Drosophila melanogaster: one gene and its partners. The protein of the gene in region 4 purifies or fractionates together with the protein of the main gene of each other region. This does not show direct contact. Each region holds a gene or a part of one and is shown on either strand. Other genes may lie near its edges.

The links.
Region 1: the proteins of Prm (region 4) and CG14315 purify together in Drosophila melanogaster (affinity purification with mass spectrometry, with the first as the bait; one large-scale study listed by BioGRID). This does not show direct contact.
Region 2: the proteins of Prm (region 4) and Obp56d purify together in Drosophila melanogaster (affinity purification with mass spectrometry, with the first as the bait; one large-scale study listed by BioGRID). This does not show direct contact.
Region 3: the proteins of Prm (region 4) and Scp1 purify together in Drosophila melanogaster (affinity purification with mass spectrometry, with the first as the bait; one large-scale study listed by BioGRID). This does not show direct contact.

What each region holds. Positions count from the first base shown.
Region 1 is NT_033777.3:18,156,310-18,161,100, forward strand, and holds CG14315 (uncharacterized protein), read left to right. Parts: upstream 1-2,391; 5' UTR 2,392-2,460; coding exon 2,461-3,114; 3' UTR 3,115-3,162; downstream 3,163-4,791.
Region 2 is NT_033778.4:19,701,564-19,706,936, reverse strand, and holds Obp56d (Odorant-binding protein 56d), read left to right. Parts: upstream 1-3,021; 5' UTR 3,022-3,186; coding exon 3,187-3,234; intron 3,235-3,304; coding exon 3,305-3,652; 3' UTR 3,653-4,013; downstream 4,014-5,373.
Region 3 is NT_033778.4:2,964,343-2,971,152, reverse strand, and holds the start of Scp1 (sarcoplasmic calcium-binding protein 1), read left to right. Parts: upstream 1-3,100; 5' UTR 3,101-3,169; intron 3,170-3,808; exon of another isoform or gene 3,809-3,836; intron 3,837-3,961; 5' UTR 3,962-4,006; coding exon 4,007-4,058; intron 4,059-6,810.
Region 4 is NT_037436.4:8,741,051-8,747,719, reverse strand, and holds the start of Prm (paramyosin), read left to right. Parts: upstream 1-2,409; 5' UTR 2,410-2,634; coding exon 2,635-2,757; intron 2,758-3,388; coding exon 3,389-3,445; intron 3,446-5,296; coding exon 5,297-5,383; intron 5,384-5,447; coding exon 5,448-5,614; intron 5,615-6,669. UniProt on the Drosophila melanogaster protein: Paramyosin is a major structural component of many thick filaments isolated from invertebrate muscles.

The DNA of each region.
Region 1 (4,791 bases), on a different chromosome or scaffold from region 4:
CATTTAGCCGACTGTATGTGGCATGTGGAGCAGCGCATAGCGGCCATGCCCCCTGGGATGGGCGTAACGCCAGCAATTTGCAGTGCTGCGCCAACGATTACGTAACAGTTGGGAACACTTAATTGTGGGGCGAAAAGCGACCCACAATGATGATCAAAATTAAAGTGCACTTCGTCATTATCAGTCGGAAGAAAAGAGGGTTTAGAATCCCCGATCTATTTTTATTCCTCAAAATTAAGAGCATATAATTATTAATCACAAATCACCGACAAGAAATCTTCAAATGTCAAGTAAAACTCCAAAATATATATATTTTTTGTTAATAATTAAAAACATCCCGACGTTTACTGTGTATACATATTAAATCAATATTAAATATAATTACCTTGATGCAAATACAAATATTTGGATTTCTAAACATTACCAATTAGATTTTCCAATTGGACTTTGCAGTCTAGTTGGACACACACGGACGCACGCACACGCGCAAACTTCAATATGGCGGCCGCGACAAAAACGAGACAGAAGATCCTTCTGCTGATCTTACAAAATCGGATAAATAAATAAATTTGCTAGTTTTTTTTTTGTTTTGGGCAGGGCTCGCGTGCTTAAGTTCAACTTGAAAAAGTCGCAAGTGACTACTGTGCGATCCCTGGAATCTCAAGCGGGAAAAAAATAAAGATAAAATGTGTACACAGGTACATACATACATATGTACATACATATATGTATTTATGTACGTAAGGAGCAGCTGCCCTCTTTTGTTGTTGCACTTAAAGTCGCTAAAATGCGGTGCGTTCGCTTGTCAAAATTGCAGCAGCATTCAGCCTTTTTTATGTTAAGAAGCCACAAAGAGATGACGCAGTCGAAATGGTTAAATGAATTAACCCTTTTACTTTGCACAAACACACACACACACATGTGCTTGCAACAGGCAATACAGTGGCTACAACAACAATAGCAGACAGGGCTTTGTGATTTTTCTGGCCGTTCTTGTAGTTTTTTGCCCAACACACGGATTAAGCTACACCCTCGGAAAAATATTCGACACAAAATCACGCGATTTAAACTAAAAAATAAATAAATAACACAATTGCGCGGAAACTTGGGAATACACGGCGCTAAGGATATCGATTACTTATTACTTATTACTTTTTATCGATTCGCATCGTCGGAGCATTCGCAGGGTACTGCCAACTTATCTCAATTTCCTAAAGGTCATTGAACTCAAATATATATATAAAAAAACGAATGTAGCATTGCATTTATAGCCATTGATTAATATGAAAGGAAAGTATGTATAAAAGTGCAACCAGTATTTGAACTTGCATAAGTTAAAAATCAAAAGTTAGCTTAGGTCCTATGATTACACCAATCTATTTGACCAAAGTACATAATTAAATATTACATCCAAAATTCAATTGTTCCTGTACAAGTGTACTAACTTTTTGGCGTTTCATGAGCGGCTCGTGTGTACAAACATTTATTTAAATGCTTACCCCCACCCCGTAGCCACTTCAGATGAAGCTGGAGCTGGAGCCGAATCTGAAGCTTGGAGCTTGAAGTTTGGAGCACGGTGGAGAATTGCGCGTAAATTCGTTGCGGTCTGCGCGTCATCAACGTAATCGCCGTCAACAGCAGTCAACAGCATCAAACTGGCAGGCAAATGTTGCTACTGTTTCCAGACGCAGTCCGTCCGGCCAACAGAAGCAAACGAAGCAACAGAAGCACCAACCGCCGCAGTGAAGTGGTTTTTTATGATCAGACGAGATGAGCCGAGCCCAAAGCAGCACTTTCCATCCGAGAAAGAAACCGAGGCTACAACAAAAGCGTGTCTTTCGAGTTCGCTAATGGGAACTACATATATGTATGTACATACATATGTACATTCCGGGTACAAAGTGCATTTTGTGGAAACCCTTTGGGCAGAATGTAAACCATTAACAAATTGTAGCAGACCTATGGCCTATACATTTCTTATTTGTTTTAACTGTTTTGACTCTTATAAATGAACATATTTTCAAGAATCTGAATTAAATTGTAAATTAGTAGAATGAAGCTCTTTCGAAACTACCTCGCTTTGCTCCTTCCGTTTGATCATTTGACCATTTTTGACCATTTGCTTTAGGTTATGGCATTTTGTCCATTTCGTATTGGTCATTCGGTTTTGGCCATTAATTTCGTTATATCATTTCGTTTTTGTCTTGCTTTGGTTATTTCGTTTTGGTCTTTCATCTTAGTCAGTTCGTTTTGACCATTCGTTTGGGCCGCTTATGTAGTTTTAGCCAAATCTTTTTGACCAAATTGACTTGAGCTTAGTTCCTGGCTCTACATATTCTGTTATTTTTTTTTTTTTTTAATTTTTGAGCTGGAATTAAAGCGTTTCACTTCAAACATAGTACACCTGTCGCACAGACTTATTGTAGTTAGTTTTGTCAAGCGTTCGAAGCGACTGCAGAAATGAGGGTCTACTTGTATCAAATGCGCCCGGTGCTCTTTCTCTTCTACATGGTGGAGACGACGGCCAACTTATTCGTTTTGTACTACCAACTGAAAGCATTTGTTTTCGTCAATCTGACAACGATGAAATGGGAAGATGTTCTAATCCAAAGCTTTTATATGTCCTTCTTTTACATATTCACAGTGGTAACGCTCTTTGCCAGCATAAATCTCTGCACCGGTCATCGCACATCGATCGTTGAGGAAGTTGTGCGTCCTCTGATCGGATTTGTTCTATATACGGTAATATCGTTGATGGCACTGGGCGATGCCGAGACGGATTTCTATATATGGTATGATGGAAGGAACCCGGATGATTTACTATATCCGGAGAAGCCGCTCCATCCGTTCTTCGGTAGCCTGCGGGACCAGGCGACAGCCTCATTGGTGTCCAGTGTTATCTATCTGCTGCACTGCCTCATTGCGTTGGATGTCCTTCTGTCGAATGACGATTCGGATAACGAACGCGAGTCATCCAATTCCTCCGACGATGTGAACGAAGAGGTCGACTACGTTCCAGTGCGTCTGTACGTCTTTGGCGGCGTGATGCAACGCTGGCTGGAGCAGTTCGACTGGTTTCAGGACTTTACCCACAGTGGAGTCACAGATATCTGATATTTTATCATTAACTTCATTTATACAACTACAAATTACATGATAAACAAAACTTCGCATCGCTTTTCTCGGTGATTATGCAGCCTTTGGATTTTGGTTACATTCGGTGCAAGAAACCCTAATCATCAGCATTCCCATGACGTCAGTGGGAAGCAACAGTTCGGTCTCTGCATCATATAAAGCTCATTGTCGTCAATGTGCCAGTGATAAGCAGCTGGGGCCAAAACATCTACATAAGTACGCGTATCTATAGTATCTATGTATCTTGGTACGAGTATCTGTATCTGCTAGTGCGCAGGTCCAAAGTTAAAGCGAACAATCGATATATGTACTATGATGTTTGGGGCAAAGCGGCAGTCAAGAGCAAGGTGAAGCATTGCCCCGGTGCTCCTGGGTGTGGTGCTTTTTTCATTCATAAAAAAAAACTGGTCCACATGACATGTGGACACATTCAAGGCTATTTCTAGACCAGACCAAGGATGTCCTTATGCCTCTCATAAACTATGCAATATGATTAGAAAGTCTGAATGTTTAGAATTAGTTTTATAAACTCACAAACTTCGGTGGATCAAAAAGTTTGGCCAGGTGAAGCTAATACTATGGCCTACTTTTCGGGGTTATTTTAATAATATGATTATTGCTGCCATGCTTTTGTATAAACAAATCAATTTCACACTCTTATTAAGTAACATTTTTAAGTACTTCCCCTCTTATAAAGCTTGAATTTTCCATACGGAAACCCAATTCAATCTTAAATGCTACAATTTAAATAAAAAATCACATAAATACTCGACTTTAAACAGAAGTCAAACAAAACAGCAATAAATCTGCTCAAAAATCACGCTTAACAAGAAGAAAAAACATATTTTCCGCCCACGCAATAAGCGAATGTGAAAATGTACATAAATGCGAGAGGGAAAATCGATAAGGACGCCATTCCGCAGGAGCGTCGTGTCCTTGAAATCGAAAAAGGGAAAGACCATTCATGAAGTTGGCCGAACTTTTCATGAATGAAAACGGCCAGCGAGGAGAAAAGTTGACACATTTCGGTGAGTTTGCGCACCATAATGTGCGAATTTTCCAAAGGGGAAAATGTTCTCTCTCCAATTTCACTGCGAAAACTTCCCCATTTTTTCCGGCCACTGACGCAACCACAATGCGCTGTTCCAAGGTCAGCGTAAAATTTCATTCATAAAACTGATACGCCCCGCGGCGTAGATATACATGTATATATATCCATGGCGCGTGTAAGTTCCCAGAAGGTGGTCATGGTTGGGGGACAGGAGGTTAGAGCTGGATGTTGGGCGCGGATTTGGGCCTGAGTGAGCACTCCATTTGCAGCTTGTTGATTTTTCTACGCGTGCAAACACAAACAAAGTGGGAAACCATTTCATTCATGAATCCAACTCAGGGGGAGGATTGTGGGGATGCTCCAAACTTCTGATCCCAAAGATTTTTGGGTGGAGCTCGTCCAGAAAACAATTTCGCGCTAAGCTGAAAGCAATTTTCGCCCCTAGGAATTTGTGGTAAACTTAGTTTAGCTTGGCTTTCATTCAGCTGGGAGTCAAATCTTGCTAACTTGAAAATGTTAAAGGTTATTGGTTAAATGATGCGTATTTGTAAAATAAATGAAATTGTTGTGTACGTCACATAGATTTTATGTTTTAAATTCCGTTC
Region 2 (5,373 bases), on a different chromosome or scaffold from region 4:
GTAAACAAATTATAGAAGTGGAAATTATGATATCTTTCCCAGTTTTAATGCGTGCCTTGGGGAAAAAAGATTGCCCATTGGATTGTAGCATACTTTTTATACATATTATTTGTAGCACTAAGTCTACAGCAATTAAAAAATGAGACATTATAAAATTTAATCCCAACGTAAATAGTTCAAAACCTACCTATCTTTAGCAAATAGGCCACTATATTTACACAAGTTTTTAGCTTACGTTTCATCTTTTCATCAGCAAATAGTATTCAATGTTCCGCGCTGGCACTGGGCCTCATTATAATTTAAATTAACTGAATTTGCTTTATTTGATTTAAGTGGCTTAGTGTTCCACTGCCTTTGTGGTCCATTGAGAATGTTCTGCTCCAGTTGTGGAAGAGCCAAGGACGCTGGATGGGGCCTTTCTGTATTTATTAGCCAACGCTGGGTTTTGACCCTAAAGGGTGCCTATCTTATCCCATCTGGTGGTGGCTCTGGTTTCCTTTCGGCCATCTCTTTTTATTTTCTGAAATTAATGCGGCAAACACTAATTAATTGCGCAGGTGTTGCAGCTGTTCCGTAGCTCTCTTGTTGTTGCTTCCGGTGTTGTTATTGCATGGGATAAGCCTAATTGAATTTCTGTAGCTTTTTGCTAGGCTTGCGGAATTGGGAGCTGGAGGTCCTATCTCGCCATTGGTTATAATTAATTACACAGCTGCCATTATAGGATACCGCTTGCATTTATTATCTTTAAATTATTGATTTTCATCAGATATGTAGAGAAACAACTGCCACAATTACCGATTTCCAGTTATTAACTGAATTGGTATTATTAACTTTTAGTGAGAGCTGAATATATTTTATTATAAACCTTGCTTTCCTTTTCTAATCTGTTGGTCTAAATAAAACTTCTGGTTCTAGTCCAAATGATTTATGAAAATTGCAACTTTAGTAAGCGCTGACCGTAATCAAATTCACGCTTTGCACTTATTTAATTGTTCTCCTTTTTAATTTCCCATAGCTAATAAATTGACTTTTATGACCGGTCATGAGAAGCTCGTAAAATTTGCATATGACTTCTAGCCGAGCTTTTGCCTTTAAGTTGGGGTTCTTCAACGGTTGACGGCATTATTATTATGTCAACGTAATGTTGTCGTCAAATAGTTTTTCGCGTGACATTTGCATTTCAGTTCAACTGAGCTGAGCTGAGTTGAGTTGAGTTGAGCCCTCGGGTCCGATGACATTTCATTAGCCGTTACCAGTTCTTCGGGCACACATATTTAATAACGTGTGCCATTGTTTTTCATTGTCGTTTTATGTGCTGTTTATATTTTTATGGCATGCCATATAGTATTTAATATTTATATTATATATGAGTCGCATGCGACATTCATTCCCGTTCTATCATGTCTACGATAAAACAGTTTTATTCCTTTCCACTACAGGAAACTTTTGGGGACAGCGAACTTCTTCACCAGGTGGAAAAGCTGGAAAAGTTGAATAGGCTACCTCCACCTCCTTGAACTGAAATCAAACTACTTGAGGAGTCAGCCACCGCTTCGTGTTTGCAGTTATTATTGTCTATAAATCGTTGGAAGGTCTCCGATAGGAGCTGTGGGGCATTATACACGATGACATTATGAATTTATTACTATTTAAATATTTTACTTTTGTTATGGCCCTGGCAGGCGACGATGGGCCGCAATAATCGTTCTGACATTTGTTTTCCCTGGCGTGCGTAACTATTTACCAGTTCGCTCCGGTAACTTCGTCTCCGAAAGTCCAGGGGGTGACCCAGGCACCGGTATATAGTTTGAGTAGGTCATGAATTATCGATGCTGTCAGCAGTAAATATTGATAAAATATATGAGGCAAAGTTCTGGCACGTAGGCATCAACTTTGGTAGCTGCCTCTATTACCATAATTAAATAATTCGGGCAGTTAGCCGACTTAAACGGTTCCGCTTAAAACTCATGCATAAATATATACATATATATACATACATCAGCAAATTACCCGAATGTCACTTTAATTGTTAATCAGCTAGACACATCTGTGCCACAAATTAATCTGCAAACCAGTTTAGTTTGATCGCACGGACTTGAGATTTTGAGAGTCATCTGAATATTTGGACTTTGATAACCGCACTTGACTTCAGACTTTGGAAAAAACCAACAAAACAATAAAAATAGGTAGGAGAACAACTGACAAAGTTAAAACAGGTTTGACGAATCAGACGTTCGTCATTAATTTTATCATGTAATATCAGACTTATTTCAAAAAAAGGGTCTATTAACAAAATTATTTAATTATTAATAATGGCATTAGAATCACCAAGAAATAATTTGTTGCGGTAATGAGGTAGCCTTATTAATATGAGACAAATTTTATAATGGTGGTATTAATAGATATATTTTGGTTATAAGGGTTATATATAGGGAATGAAGAAATATATTTAAGCGCAGACCTTATATAAGGCTTACAAATAATTCGAGCATCTCATGGCCTCCGTTAACTTATATTAAATTTTAAGTGTTACTAAAAATTTTTGTAAGTAATATAAAATGTTGCTTTTATATTCTATTCTCTAAAACTCCCCTATCATGCTTTGCATGCACTTTGTTTTAACACCTCCATAAAAATCAACGTTAGATTGTATTTCAAGTTTAAGGTTTTGGAGTTACGTGTATTGTTAAATCAAATTAGTTGACGTTGACGCTTCGCTGGGCACTCTGACCCTTGGGAAGTACAACACACTTTTAATCGGTGGAAAATCTGAAACTACAATTAGCACTTACATTATGGCTTTGAAGCGATTTTAGCCTAATAATAAGCCCGAGTCTGGGGCATTAGGGCCAATTATAGGTACAATGGAAAGCCGCAGTGAACTTGCTTCATTTACTGATTCGAGTATCTGTTGAACTTTAAACCGAAATGGTAAAAAAAAGTGAGTCAGTTTCGGGTTATCAACAAGATCGGAGAGGGTTTAAGTAAACTAACCGGTGTATTGCCGTGTGTATGTGTAATAATTGCTTATACAGTGTGATCAGCGGAGTAGAGCGAAAACAAAAAGCGATAATCAAAACAAAACTCTGACGAAGCTGCATGCAAAATCGTATAAAAGGCAGATGCTAACAGAATAAATTCAACAGTTTCGATACCAAAGGGTTTCCAACAACATCTCTACCGAAAATGAAGTTCCTGATTGTCCTCTCCGTCATTTTGGCCATTTCGGCTGCTGTGAGTTACAAATAGTTTCTGATTTAAAGGGGTAGTATTGCTAAGTGTATCTTTTGAATATATCTTATAGGAGCTGCAACTATCCGATGAGCAGAAGGCTGTGGCCCATGCCAATGGCGCCCTTTGTGCCCAGCAGGAGGGAATCACCAAGGATCAGGCGATCGCCTTGCGAAACGGCAATTTCGATGACAGTGACCCCAAGGTGAAATGCTTCGCCAATTGTTTCTTGGAGAAAATCGGATTCCTGATCAATGGTGAGGTCCAGCCCGATGTCGTTCTGGCCAAGTTGGGACCCCTGGCCGGCGAGGATGCCGTGAAGGCCGTTCAGGCCAAGTGTGATGCCACCAAGGGAGCGGATAAGTGCGATACTGCCTATCAGCTATTCGAGTGCTACTACAAGAATCGCGCCCACATCTAAGCGCCAAATCTCCGATATTCTCCTGTGTGATAATCTGTCTGTGACTTGTTACTTATATTGTTTTAATTCAGTATATCAATTCGTAAACAAAATTTTTAGATCTGTAAATGTTTTGAATAATAAACTCAAGAATATATTTCGTTTTTAAAAAAAAACTTGACAAGAAACCTTTGCGAGACTATGTTCCAAATAGAAGATCATGCTTAAAGCTTTTACATAACTCTCCTAGAATCTCACTTGGCATTTGTTAATATTTTAAATATTAATGTTAAACGTTTGATCAAATAACTTTTTAGCTGTCCAACAAAAACTTAAAGGAACCTTCCAGGAAAATAACTTACGTAAACCCCTAACAGAGAACGCCTTTTATTGTGTCTCAAAGGAAATTAAGGTGAAATTCTTATACATAATTACTTATGCATATTCGACTTGTCAATGGATGCTCCACTGTATGACCCATTTGCGTTTTGGCCGCGTACCCATTTGCATAACAGTGGGCCGTCATTAAGGACCAACCACTGTCAGACCGTCGTCAGGGGCTTAAGTCCCTGGTACAGAGCGGCGATCCCAGAGGCATTTGGCCGCTCATGTTTGGCATAAATATTGATGAGCGACGGCAAACTTATTGGCACAAAGACCTGGGATCCCGGCGATACAGGATGCGTTGGGGTTCGAGCAAATGAATTGGACACGGGGAGCCGTGTTTTTAAAAGCCCAAATCCAATTAACAAATCATTAAACATTCATTGAGCACGTGTCGCAATTGCATTTACTGGTTCAACATGGATCAGGTGGCATCGGAGGGAACAATTGTTCCGACTTTGGCTTTGACTTTGGCTTTTGGGGAGTTTGGATCGCAGCCAGGGTCCATAATTCATTTTGTCACTTCCTGGGGTCGGTCTGGCTGTAATGTCACTTCCATTTAGCATCCGTTTCAGTTGCAGTTGTCTGCACAAGAGCTGATGGCCGATGGCCGATGGCCTTCCCGGCCAACCGAACAAACAATCACTGATGCGTTTACTAATGTCTATTAAAAAGGCAGCCCAATCGAAGGATTCCACCCCCCCGAGCTAATGCATTTAAGTAGACAGCCATGGCGGCTTGTCAAAGGAGCCAACACGCGTGAGATGGTAGCACATTGATGCTCGACATCAGCCTTTGTCTTGGCCGTCTTGTTTGACTTGTCTTGCTCCCGTTAGTTGGCTTTCAATGGCCAAGGACCAAGGATATCGCTGGAGTTGGGGTTGAGTGCTGATGCTTTGAAGGGGGAGGCTTTCCCTGCGGTTCTCACATTAATGTAATTTAATTTTATAAAAACTTCGCTGCAGGGTGGCTGCCACTTGCTTGTTTCATGCTCCGATGTCTCTCGCTTTTTGTCCGTCCATGTGAAGTTTCTTTGATCTTAAAGACCAATATGTGATGTGGCTGGGGATGCTGCGGTTGTGTTTCCGATTATCAGCAGAAGTCTGTTATTAAGTCCGTCAATTAGAGTGGTCCAAAGAAAGAAGGAGTTCAAGTAAACCAGTTGCTGTGGCTTGAACTAATGTGATTGAATTTGTTTGCAATACAACTAGACTAGTAAGGAATATAATAATTTTATCTTAGAAGGAAAACGTGTTCTATGTACTATCATTTTTCCGCATACAGCTTGTAACCACTTCCATAATCTAATTAAAACTTCTGGTTGTATTTTTTTATGTTTCCACAACTACAACAAGAAA
Region 3 (6,810 bases), on a different chromosome or scaffold from region 4:
CGAGAAGATCGCAAAGTGAGAGCTTAGCGAGAAACGAGCTACATTGCTTTTTTTTTTTAGTTATTCGTGTGAACGTGATGGATTCGGACGGGGAATTTCTTGCATCAAGCGCAACTATTAACTTTCTGTTAAAATAAAACTGGCGTCCACTCTAACTTAACTAAAGCGATAAAGCAGGTTTCAAACTGATCTCTCGCTTTATCGCATGAGCTCACAACTCGCTTCGCTCTCACTCTGACATCTTTCGCGCGATTGTACTTAAAAATTCATGCAGTGTTTTATCGCTCGTTCTCGCCCAATAATATCGCATCGCTTCTCGAACTTACTCTGCCGTCAGACCCTTAAAAGTTATCTTTATGAAAAAGCAAAGAGTAAGATTTTTACAGATCATCAGCCCCTAGCGTATTCTCTGCATAGCTGTAATGGAAATGCCAGAATTAATAGATGGAAAGCTTAGCTAGAGGAGTATCATTACACGCTATTCTAAAAACCAGGAAAAGAATATATTTTCGCAGACGTGCTCTCAAGAATACCATTACACCAGATTAACTCTGTTTCCTTTACGCAACATAGTGCTGAAAGTTCTAGCCATGATCTAGTATTGTAGTTCATGTTGAAACAGCAATATATGTTCTTTAAAATCTAAAATTCTTTTACAATCAGACAGATCCAACTTCAGGCTTACATTTCCACTTCCAACCTTCCATAAACATAAAATATACAGTCCGGAATATACTACATACAAAATAAGAGCAGACCTAAAGAAACATCTCAACCCATCCGTAATAAACTGCATCCACATGACTGAACAATATTATTGAAAACTACAGACAATCTACCGAAGACACACCGTTACCGTTCAAATAGAACGGTTCCATTTGATTCCATTCGACACTTTCCGAAATACTGAGATGCCTCAAAAGAGGAGGTTCAGATAGAAATTTACAAAAACTTTTAGAAAGAACAAGTTATAAGTACAATTACGGTTTCTATTCAGTTACAAAGGAGCGACCATTAGAAGTATTCAGAAAAGTGACCCAAACTCGGACCAAAACGAAACAGCCAGACAACACATTTTGAAGACTTATCAAACAGAAACCAGACCTCGGAAATCATAATAAAAAGAAAAGGGAAATACGTAATTATCAATAATAATAGTTCTTAAATTGGCTAGGTCCCAGGTGAAAATACATAGCGGCCACTCCAGATCACGATGACCTGGTCATAATAGAGCAGAGCTCATTGACAACAATAACCAACAAGTCATTGTTTACAAACAAGAAAGAATAAACAAACTGACTACAGTATCTAAAGCTCTAACAATTTCTATACAAAAGGGCAGTTCCGTTCGTTTAGAAATTGCTCTTAGTTTACAAACCCAGATTAGACTCCTAAAAGTAGAAACTGCCATCCAGTGGGCGCGACAAGAGGTCGTAACACACTAGTACTAAATGAAGATGAATTAATTGAAATAGAAAGAATATTTAAGGGAAACAACATGTTATTACTATCGATGAAAGAAGCTATGGCGTTTTCCGAGGTCTCTATTCTACATAATAAGACAACACATTTGTACATCGTAAAAGTCGCAAACTTTATAGAAATACTAAGATATCATTGTAAAACCAATAGTTAAAAACAACAGAACTACAACAACTTAGACTTTCAAGAAATCTTTGCTTTCGAAAATCTTACCTATATATACATATATAAATATGCGATGAGAAAAAAATTGTAAATATAAGAAATTAATTAATTAAATTAGTTGATTGCTCTCCAAATTTAGTTCTGGGAAAGAAAGATCTGTGTAGTTTTAGCAACTCCGACAACTTATCCAGAATGGAAGAGGTCGACGACGGAATCATCCTATTAAACGATTACGATGGAATCATATCCTGGATCCTCACAGAGCTTCACCTACTTTGTTTAGCTATCAAACGACTCGATGATTATCGACAACAGGGGGATTCGCCAACTTGGAACCTACAGCCCTGTCTCCTAGTTCGCCTCTTGTACAATTTACAGATGAAGAAAAAGAAAGACTGAGGTTATATCTCTTGAAACACTGAACCGTTGCATATACATAAAAGGCCAACAGCATAACCCTACTGACGCTCTTCGACAATACTCTGATTATCATCCTGGGCCTTCACACCTATAGTCAAAGGAAGAGAAGCATAAACTTGCAGCTTAGACCTATACCGGGAATGGAAACAAAAGTTAACATCAGCTACCTCAGTTCAATAACATTCCCTACATAAATTAGAAAGTTAAAGTTAATAACAATGAATTCAACATCGGTCTACAACAGAATGTAATAGAGTAACAAACCCCAAATATGCAAGCTCAGCGCCACCAAGCAGATTTCCCAAAATGTGTTTGGCAATTGTTTCCGCTCCCACCAGCGCTTGTGATTCCAAGAAGCCGACGTCGATCCTCTGCCAATAAGGACAGCACAGCCGACAGCTAAAGACTCGCAGCTTATAAAGACGATGTTCTCACTTAAGTTTATAGTCCAACTCTTTTAATGCTCGTTACTCATAGAGTAAAAGGGTATACTAGATTGGTTGAAACAGGCAGAAGAAAGCGCTTCCGACAATAAAATGTATATATATTCATGATCAGGATCAATGTATCGATTTGCAAAAAAAAATTTTGCCACGCCTACTCAAACGCCCCAAAGCCGACAAGCCGGTCACCCCCGCACTTTTGAAAAATTGTTAGATATTTTTCATAATTTTATTGGTCGTGTATATTTCTATTGATTTGCCAAAAAACTTTTTGCCACGCCCACTCAAACGCCCTAAAGCCACCAAACCGGTCACGCCCACACTTTTTTAACAATTTTTTATTTTTTTTTCATTTTATTTTTTTTCTAATATCAATCAATCAATCGATATCAATCGATTTTCCAGAAAAATTATGAACTTTCGCGTTAGCATTGACCCTAGCTTAGTTACTGGTATCTGATAATCAGGGAACTCGACTATAGCCTTCTCTCTTGTTTTATATTATTATACCCGTTACACGTAGAATCAACGAATCTAATTTTACTCTACACGTATGGGGCATAAAAACATATATATATTTTCTTATATGTATATATATTGTTTTTATATAATATTATATCTTAACAGTAATAGACAACTATAGACCGCCGATCACAATGGTAATAAGACATAAAACTGTACATTTGAATGTTGAATATTGTATCTCCTATATATGTATATGTATATGTACATAAAACCGAAAATAAGAATTGTGAGTTTTATAAAATGTGTGCTTTATAATAGGTTATGCATGTACTATAAATATATACTTGTGAATATACATGTGTGTAAGCTTGCAAAAATAGTAAATATTTTTCTATTAATAATCATGTCAATTAATTATCAATTCTTTAAATGTTAAAATGATTTTTGATATATTTTACTATTAGTGTTCAAATACAAAATTAAATAGGGGTGAATTGTTCGCTTTTTTTCCATTTTAAATGGTTAATTAGAGCATAATCTATATGGAAACTTTCACGAATAACATTGTAACAGGTAGGCTTAATATTTGGTAGTAGAAAACTGAATTGTTATTGATTGTGATTTCAAAACAGTGCTATAGTTTACTTAATACAATAATTACATTTAGTACAATGGAAACTCCTAATTAAAAATAAACTACCTTTTGAAAGAGAACAAATATATACAAATGCACTTTCTATACAATACACATTTGTATGTATAATGTTTAGATACATACCATGTAAATAATGTTGCCAAAGTGTACGACTTTTGGCAAAAGGTTTAGCAAATTTAGTTAGTCTGAAGTAAGCTATTCCGAAGGTAAGGAGCTCATATTTACTATTCAAGAACTTTTTACCTAAAAGTACTATTTATAGATACCAAAAAATTTTAATTTATTTATAGACTTTTATTAGTTCAGATAGTAATGGTATTTCTACTTTTAGCTATTTACATTTTATGAGGATAAGCTCCAAACAAATTCCGTCATAATGGCTTATTCCTGGGATAACCGTGTCGATTTTGTCGTTCGGTATATGTATGGTGAGTAGAAAAGGACTTAGGCTTATTAAACGTATCCTATAGTGAATTAAAATACCTTAAAAATTTACGTATATTTTATACAAAAAATTTAAGTTTATATTCCATTGCATTGAATACATAAAGCCATTTTTATACATATCTTCGGAACTATCCGAAATCCGATATTTTAACAATATATACATTTTATTTTAATTTTATTTAATATGGGACGACTATATCATATAGCTGCATTAAGAACTGCTTGAAAATTAAACACCCAAAATAGAATATAAATAAAAGTTTCGTTTTTTAACACTATGGGTGCTAAGTAGACATATATGTTTTTGTAATTACTGAAAGGGTATTTGGATAGGATTAATCAAATTTGCAAGCGCACAAATACAATAAAAATAACATTTACAATTGCTGCGGATCAGATTTATGTAACAATCTCAAGTCTGGCAATTTAAATGTTGCGCCATATTTATGATGTAGTTTTATAATCCGTTAAAATGAGGTCACATGGAACCGGTCAAGTGGTCATTGCAGCTTATATGAGGTTAAGCCAAAGACATTTGAAGAACAAGATGCGTAACGCCATACAATTTTTTGCACACAATTTTATCGGGATGGCTCCAGAGGTGGCTCAGCAGTTCTTTTCTACGCATACAGTGACAGCCGACAACTGTATGGTAATGCATTGTAAATTTGACAATTTACAAGTTCATAGACTTTACATCTGTATTATCTTTGTTTAATTGGCAACATGTAAAAAATTCTTGGCTTGCATGGCCTTAACCAAAGACCCTAGTGTCTAGTTTCTTTGCCTTAACTATATTATTATTTGAATATATATGTACATAATATCACAAAATAAATTTCAAAGATGACTATATTAGAACAAAGGTTATTAGGGCGTTCACTTGCCCCTTGTGAAAAATTAATAAGGCAATCATTGTTGCAATAAACGTGTTCGTGTCTCAAGATATGACTTTTGCAATAAAAAGTTTTCATATTTTTATTCATTTTATAAATATTTATTTTCTACTACTTATTATTTTTGTGAAATATCTTTTCCTCAATGTAATGACTTCTTTTTGGAAAAGTTATGTTTTAATTTAAAATTTTATTATTTTATTTTATTATCCGTTTGATTAAAGCTGACTATACGCCGAGCTTCTCTATTTTTTGAAAGTTTCGCTATATAACCTAGTTTATATATTTAATTAAAGTCGTTTTGTTGCAATATCGTACTTTAGGTGATATATTCAAGGTGTAAATTCGTAATTATTATTTTATTTTATCATATTGCTAAGAAATTGGGTATACTAGGGTATACTAGACTCGTTGAAAAGTATGTAACAGCCAGAAGGTAGCGTTTCCGACTATATAAAGTATATATATTCTTAATCAGGATCAGTAGCGGACATGTCCATCTGTCCGTATGAACGTCGAGATCTCAGGAACTATAAAAGCTAGAAGGTTGAAATTAACCATACAGGTTCTAGAGATAAAGACGCACACTCATTTTTTCATATTTTTATTAGGCTTTAAAATTTCTATGGATTGGCCACAAAACTCTTTGCCACGCCCACTCTGACGGCAGGTTACAGCTAGGTTATGTTGATCATTAACCGAAATTATATTAGGCTAAGTTAAGCCGAGCTTTAAATCTCTCTAAATGCCTATGGGACTCTTGTGGACTCCAAATGGCAACCTCAACTTCACTTGGTCGTAGGGAAAATATTTCAGAGTGTTCAGACAACACGGTTTTCGAGTGTTCGCTTGGATCTCCAATCGCTAAGCTATGAAATCACTGAAATCTATATTCATTGTTAATGGTTTACAATATTAATCTTTGTGCAAATTAAAAGTGTTCCTTTTTAATTATTTGAACAAAAAATTTTTATTTTATTATAATTTAATATTTTATTCATGATAGACCTTTTCACTTATACTATTACAAGACATTCTTTTTATCTCTTGTCTTAAATTTAAAACTGTTCACGATCTCGTCCCGATTCAGACTGATCTTCTAAATATTAATCCTAATCCACTCAACCTTGGCCAGAAGCTTTTCTTTAGGATTTTCTTGAACTGTAAAATATGTTTAGGGTAAAAGCTTTATACTGAAATTATTTCACAGCATTGTGAAATTCAAATTTGTTGACTAGTGTTTACTTTAAGTTTGGTTATTCATCGGGTGGCTAAGTGATGGCGACTAAACGAGGACAAAGGAAATGCTGATGAGATTGGAGTTTTAAATTTGTTTATCAACTGGGTCAGAGTGCTATATTTACGGGTTGGATAACTTGCACATTTGTGCTTTTAAGTCAACTCGCACGTCCACGACGGTTGCGAGTTTCTTACAACTGCTGCTTCTCAGCGCTTGACATTTAAACGATTGACATGTGAGAGATAGCGGGAGCACAATACTACTGTTATAAGCTGGCGGTACAATATATACATTTACATATAAATGCAGTGGTTCATACAGATGCTGGGTTTCTTTGGTTTTTGGAGCATTATCTACGGCGTAGGTAAATCTGGGCGCAGGGTCGAAATAATATTTTCGAACTTACGGCACGGCGGCAACATTTTATTTGTCGACTTAACACATATTAATATTTCTCCTATTTGTTTTCCATAAAAAAGATAATCTTTTAAATATTTATCTATTAATATGAAAATTTATTTTTGTAAGGATAAGCTAACATAATAATGGGAGGGTGAGTAGCCAATTTTAATGGCCCACTATAAGTCTAATGATTCT
Region 4 (6,669 bases):
AGCGCCACCCACCTCGTTGGAACCTCGGATGGCGCCCACTTGAGCTTATCTAGCAGCCACTCCACTCCACTGCTCCACTCAGCTCCACTCCTGGGCAAAAAGAGGAGTATCTTGCAGAAAGTGGCTGCGCGTCAAGTAGGCACACACTCTATAAAGCTGAAGTCGATCTATATATAGCTGCATAGCAGCGGGCACCGCGATGTGTGTGCATGTGAGTATCTGTGATCATAACAATTTTGACCTAATTTTGTATAGCTGGCACACGAAACATGAAAGAATTAGAAGACACCCAATGGCCGCTGAGTGATTTCTGTCTTAAGGTGGAGGTAGGTAGGTAGTTGGGGAATGGGGTTGGGATTGGGGTGTGTGGATTTGGGGATTGGGGAGCCAGGAGATCCTGTCCCCATCACTGACCTCAGTGCAGCTGTAAAATGATGGGCAATGGGCCGGAAAACAGACACACAGACACCTGGCAAGCGGGCATCAACTACGCATAGAACTCAAATCTTGATGAGAATGGGATTCTTTGACTAAAGGTGTCGTTCTTGTCTGGCTTTGTGTTATTTTTGGCTGACTTATTTATCGGCGAATGGCTTGCTACATATTCGCCAGGTTATTTTTAAATTATTACACATTCCAAAATGTGGCAAACACACAAAATGTTAAATATTATTCTACGGCTGCCTGGCGCGCACTTATATATACAGATGGGTAGCGGCAACATTGTATATATGCATGCATAAAATAAATAAAGTTATGGCCAGCAAAGAGCCAAGTATCTAAAAGATACGAATGCGAACGGAGCAAGAAACTGCTCTAATATATAAGGATGGTTAGCCCATCTAGAGCTCTAGATGTGTGCGTCAGTTGGCCTCAGGTGAAATGTGTGTGGAAAATGAACACGATTATGAGCAAGCCGAGAAAAAAGGCACAAATAACACGAAATTCGGTTGCTAAAAATAAGCGAAAATTCATTTTTAAGTATAGTTAGGCAAATGTGTGTTTGTGTGTGGAGCACAGGTGGAGGAGATCGCTCGAAGACGAACGAGAATTTTCACTCGAAAAGCTTCGGTTCCTTTGGAAAAGTGAGCCAAAAATCGCCGAACGAAGCGTGTTCGCAATGTAACAGAAATTATTTACACAATATGTATTTACTATGGGGGCACATGGAGAGACCCGTCAGTTGCCAAAAAGATATAATGCAGAGACAGTCATCTACGTGACCATTGAACAACAATTGTTAGATGACATCGCATTGTCTGAGGCTGAGCAGACTGCTGTCCGCACGGCCAAGGATTCACTCAAAATTGTATATTTTTGTTTATTTCGCACAATTTTTTTTCACACACTCTCTACGTCTATTTATTTATGCTGGCGAATAACACGTTTCGATGCCAAAAGTCAAGTATTTTTAGAAAACATTGCTGTAATCCTAATTGGCTGTTAGCGAATAATTTAGAAGGCATATCATAGAAAATTTTGACACTTTTATGATTTTTCTGCTTGTGTAAAAATGTTGTAATACCCCTGAGATCTGTATAGCATATATATTTGGGCTCTATATTTGGCTGGGGTTTCATGCTCTAGCCTCTTTTCTTTTTGATAATAATATATGCTAAATCAATTTGAAATCAATCGATTCAAATATTTACATATATAGTCTCTAACGCTTAAATGTATTCAATATTCTAGATGTTCTAATGTTCTAGAAACCGTTTCCAAAAGTCAAATCATTCTATTTAAGTTTGCTCCCAGAATTATATCTCAATCTTTATAGTCTAGGGACTACGTGCTGGAATACTGGTTTGGCACTACCTTTTAAATAATATCCGAGGCCCCTGAACCAAGAAAATGTGCCAATAAATATAAATTATGAACTTTATGATCTGCAGAGGATGCCAAATATTTCAACATGACTTATATGTATGTACGTTCGAGAATTGGGAAAATTTATGTGTAGATACATTCTGGCCAGACGCTAGATACACAAAATGAAACGCACAAATGACACAGGCTAATTACAGGTAAGCAATAGAAAAGAAAAGACAAGAAAAGCAGGCGTACTTCGTGTTTTTGAGTTTATTTTCGTAGGGGGCAAGCTCTCAGGCAAACTAGCGTGAAAATGCGTTCACACAAGCTTCGGCCCAAGTGAAATGAAAAATCAAAGAATTTTCCACACAACTGAGCAATTAACACAACAACACGGCCGCGTGAAAAGTCACTCGAAAGTCCCACTCACATTCACATAGGTGGTGGTGGTGGCTTATAGATATATCTCAGGGTATATCCCACTCGGATCCGATCGGCGGGGAGCCGATGGCGCCCGACGGCGACCGAAGGCTCCCGAAGGGAACCGAATAAATCGTTGAAATAGACGAATTCAGCTGGCAGGCCAAACCAATTCAACGAAATACTCTTTATTCGAACGACAACGGGATCTCTTGTTCAGTAGATCACCAGCCTTACTCCGACGTTTATTACGAATTTTCTCGGTGACTCGGTGACAACTACAAAACTGCGTGCGGTGCTGTATAGATTTTCGCTTGAGAGGAACACACAAATCATAATACTAGATACGCGAACCGATCGCACATTAATTTATAGAACCAAAATCGAAAATCTGACCTAGCAAACATGTCGTCATCGCAGGCTGTCCGCTCCTCGAAATACTCCTACCGTGCCACGTCCACCGGACCCGGTACCGCCGATGTGAACATCGAGTACATCCAGGACCTGAGCTCGCTCTCCCGCTTGGAGGTAAGGATCCCGTCCCGCTCCGTCTCGGAATCTCGAATTCGAATTCGTAATTGGAAGCGGACCGGTATCGTTTAAGAAATCGGCATCGTATTGGGCACCAAATCCCCAAAAAGACGTTGGAATTCCGACCAGGGAATAGGAATACGAAATGCGTGTGCGCCAAATTTTCTTCAAAATCTACGAGAATTTCTCTCTCTTGTTTCGGTGTCTGTGTAGAGACTGAAAAAGAATCGGAATATAATCAAGAAAAAATACGAAAAACAAACTAAGAAACCCGAAAAATTCATCTACACTCTATATCAAATGCACATATATACCGTAGATATATATTCGTGTGTTAAGTTCTCGGCGCGTTCTTGTGTGTGGAAATATAGAAAATTCGGTGAAGCAAAATTCTAGATTTGTATATGTATCTAAACGTGTCTGTATATACATATGCATTGCTAAAAAATTATGTAATGGCCACCTCTGGGCAATACATATACACGAGAAAACATCGAAGAAAAATTTGTGAAGAAATCAATCAACTGTGCTGTAAAGTGCTTTTTAATGAATGTTTTAATCAAATAATATGAAATAACGAGCCCATAAAAGATCAAACTCAATAAATGTATCCACCATTTTCTTGCAGGACAAGATCCGTTTGCTCCAAGATGATCTTGAAGTTGAACGTGAGTTGCGCCAAAGGGTGAGTCATTCAATATGGAAATATTCATAATTTTAAATATTTTTAAGTTATTTTTGAACCGAGTATTTTTAAGGTATTACTATAGGTTTCTTTGGAATATTTTTGAACATTCTTAATTTATTGAGAGCATCGTTTTTAGTCAATAAGATTATTTGCTGATGAAATCGGCGTCAGAGATATGACATATCCGAGGAAGTTAGAAAAGATCAGACCGCATTCTCCGAGACCCAATGGAAATCAAAGCGCCAGGGAAAACCATTTTTACTTTTTTCACCTCGCAAATGTCACCCTAAAAACAGCAAAAATATGTGGAAAGCCAAAATAAAATCAAAATAGACCAAAGTAGCAGTAGCGATAGAACCGATAGAAAAGTCAGCAAACAAATGCAAATCTAAGAATAAACTACCCTTCGTAGAGTTTCGAAAGTGTGAAAGTAAATGATAATGATGTGCATTGAACTTCAATCGCTTTCGTTTTTGGCTTTTCCTTCCCTGCGGAGCATTGATAAATGATTTTTCCCCTGACTTTGCAAAGACAGCGGCCGCAAAGACAGCAAAGTCAGGAACAGCCAGAGAAAAGTGGGAAAATTCGCAGGCCGAAAGTGCACTTCATTCAGCGCAATCCTCTTGGGCGTTACAAATTTAGAAAATGCGAAGAGCTCTTGCCGGAATGGAATGGGCTGGCCAGGAATGTTCTGAAAATTTTGTTAAAAAATCAAATTTAATTACTTTGTGCCTTATGGATTAGCACGCACTCGCACACAGATACAACGCCCCCCAACACACACTCACAATATATGGAACAAAATGGCTAAAATTAGCGCACGACATTCAATACAGAGAAGCGAATGATTAACTTGAAAACAACCAAAATATGAGCAGAGAAGAAAAGAAAATAAAGTAGCCAAAAAGTCATCATCATCACCATCTTCATGATCAGCGGCGGCAGAGAGGAAAATTCGCTCGCTCACTACGGGAAAATCTTCGCTTTTTGTCTGTGGGCGTGTGTCTGTGGGAAAATTAAATAATTTTCATGCACATTAAAAGTCTTCACACCGCCTGGCATTCTTTCTACATATCCACATATGCATATATAGGCGGCAAAAACATGTATCTACAAGATACATATGGCGCAAATGGATTTACGGCCCGTACTTACGTGGCCTTTGTGGCAATCGGCAACTTTTTGTTATGCCAAATGAACGGACAAACACATGTTCGCCTAGGTATTATCATAAACATAAATGTACAAACATATTCAGCGAGAGATTTAAAAGAGATTTATCAGACCAATACGTTCTTTATTTAAGCTTGGGGCATTTCAGTTAGCTGAATTTTTTATGATTGCTTCGGACAGCTCCAAATACCAGAAATCCCAATGGCCGCACATAGCTTTCATAAAATAGCATTTAATTGCAATTCGCAAAATTGACCAAACGAGGTCGTCGACAAAGGCGAAAAGCAAATGTTTAGATTCCGAGGGAGCCAACAAAAAATGTTTCTGTTCAAGCGAAAAATGTTCGAATGCCTTTTTGGAAATGCAATCTAGGAAAGCGGTGTGCGGCCGCCCACAAAAGATATATACGCATATATAGACGCATATATCGTGGATGCAATCGGACTATGGCTACACCTCTGCGTGGAAGATTTCTTGGCAAGATGCCATTGTTATTTTAGGTGTTGCATGTGCATAATTATTTTTGACTGATTAATGTGATTTATAATTTTTATTATGGGCTGTTTGAGTAGCCACAGAGCATGGCTAGCGCAGGGTATTTATAGATCCTTCACATTATACCAAGTCGCTAATGAAATCTCTTCTTAATCTCTGCTTATATTCTTCAAATTTCAGATCGAGCGCGAGAAAGCCGATCTCAGCGTTCAGGTCATTCAGATGTCCGAGCGTCTCGAGGAGGCCGAGGGTGGTGCTGAACATCAAGTGAGTACCATGTGGTAAACCAATATTGCAATCCAGCCATAACTGATGTATCTTCCAATCCCAGTTTGAAGCCAACCGCAAGCGCGACGCTGAGCTGCTGAAGCTGCGCAAGCTGCTTGAGGATGTTCATCTTGAGTCGGAGGAGACCACTTTGCTTTTGAAGAAAAAGCACAACGAAATTATCACGGATTTCCAGGAACAGGTTGAAATCCTAACGAAAAACAAGGCCAGGTAGGCATTGCAACAGGCTCTGGCCATCGCCACCGACGTCCCCATTTCCATTCCATTGACCCAGAAACCATACCATATCCAAAACATAAACATCTCCATCCCGAGCTGTCATGCATCCGCAGAACATATTTATTTGCCCCCAATGATGATGATCAAGTGGCGTCAGCTGGCTCTTGCGGACATTTCAATGTCTCGAGATCTCGTGCAGTAACTAAACAATACAATGCCTAACCTTGCGCTGCCCCGTTGACCCAAAAAAAAAAAAAAAAACAGAGAAAATCGAAGCAGATCATAAACCATTCATCAAAATGCCATGACATGCGAAATGCAAAGCGAAAAAAATCAGAAAACATAAACCTGCATGGCTTGCAAGTTCTATTGGCACAAATCGCGGCCGAAAGGCCAAACGAATGAGAAAAAAATTCGAGAAACTTTCGGTTGCTGGCCGCCTCTCATATTTCCAAATCGATGCGAGCGATTTCCAAAAATAAATTCCTAGGAATTTTGAAATCGCAACAATTCAAGGCTATCAAAAGATAACGAGTCATTTAGATTAATATGCATTCGGATAAATCAAAATCAACTCATATCCTAAGATTAAATCAAGTTCAAAGTTGAGTTTCTTTACCGTTCTTTAAGATTTCCACCTTTAAGATAGGTGCGCCCGAGTTTGCGCACTTCCGTTCGTAGACAAGGACAGAAGGTCGGAAGATCAAGCAGCCGTCCCACTCTATCGAAAAAGCTTTGGAAAGCTTTCGCACAGCGAAACTTTCTTCCATATGTTGTGCCCACCACCCCATACCATATTTTCTTTCTGAGCGGAAATTTATTTATAGAAATTTTGAAATTTTCATCCACATTCTTGAACAGAGAGGCTCTTTGTTGCTGTTGCCATTCCGCTCCCACCGCCTCCCTGCATCACTCCCTCTCGCTCGCACCAACGCTCCAACCCAAATATGTCTTTGATTGAATCATATAGAAAATGTGTTTATTGTTTTTGTTGCTGTCCCGCTCCGACCCATCGCGTATTATGGAAATCCGATACGTTTTTTCGC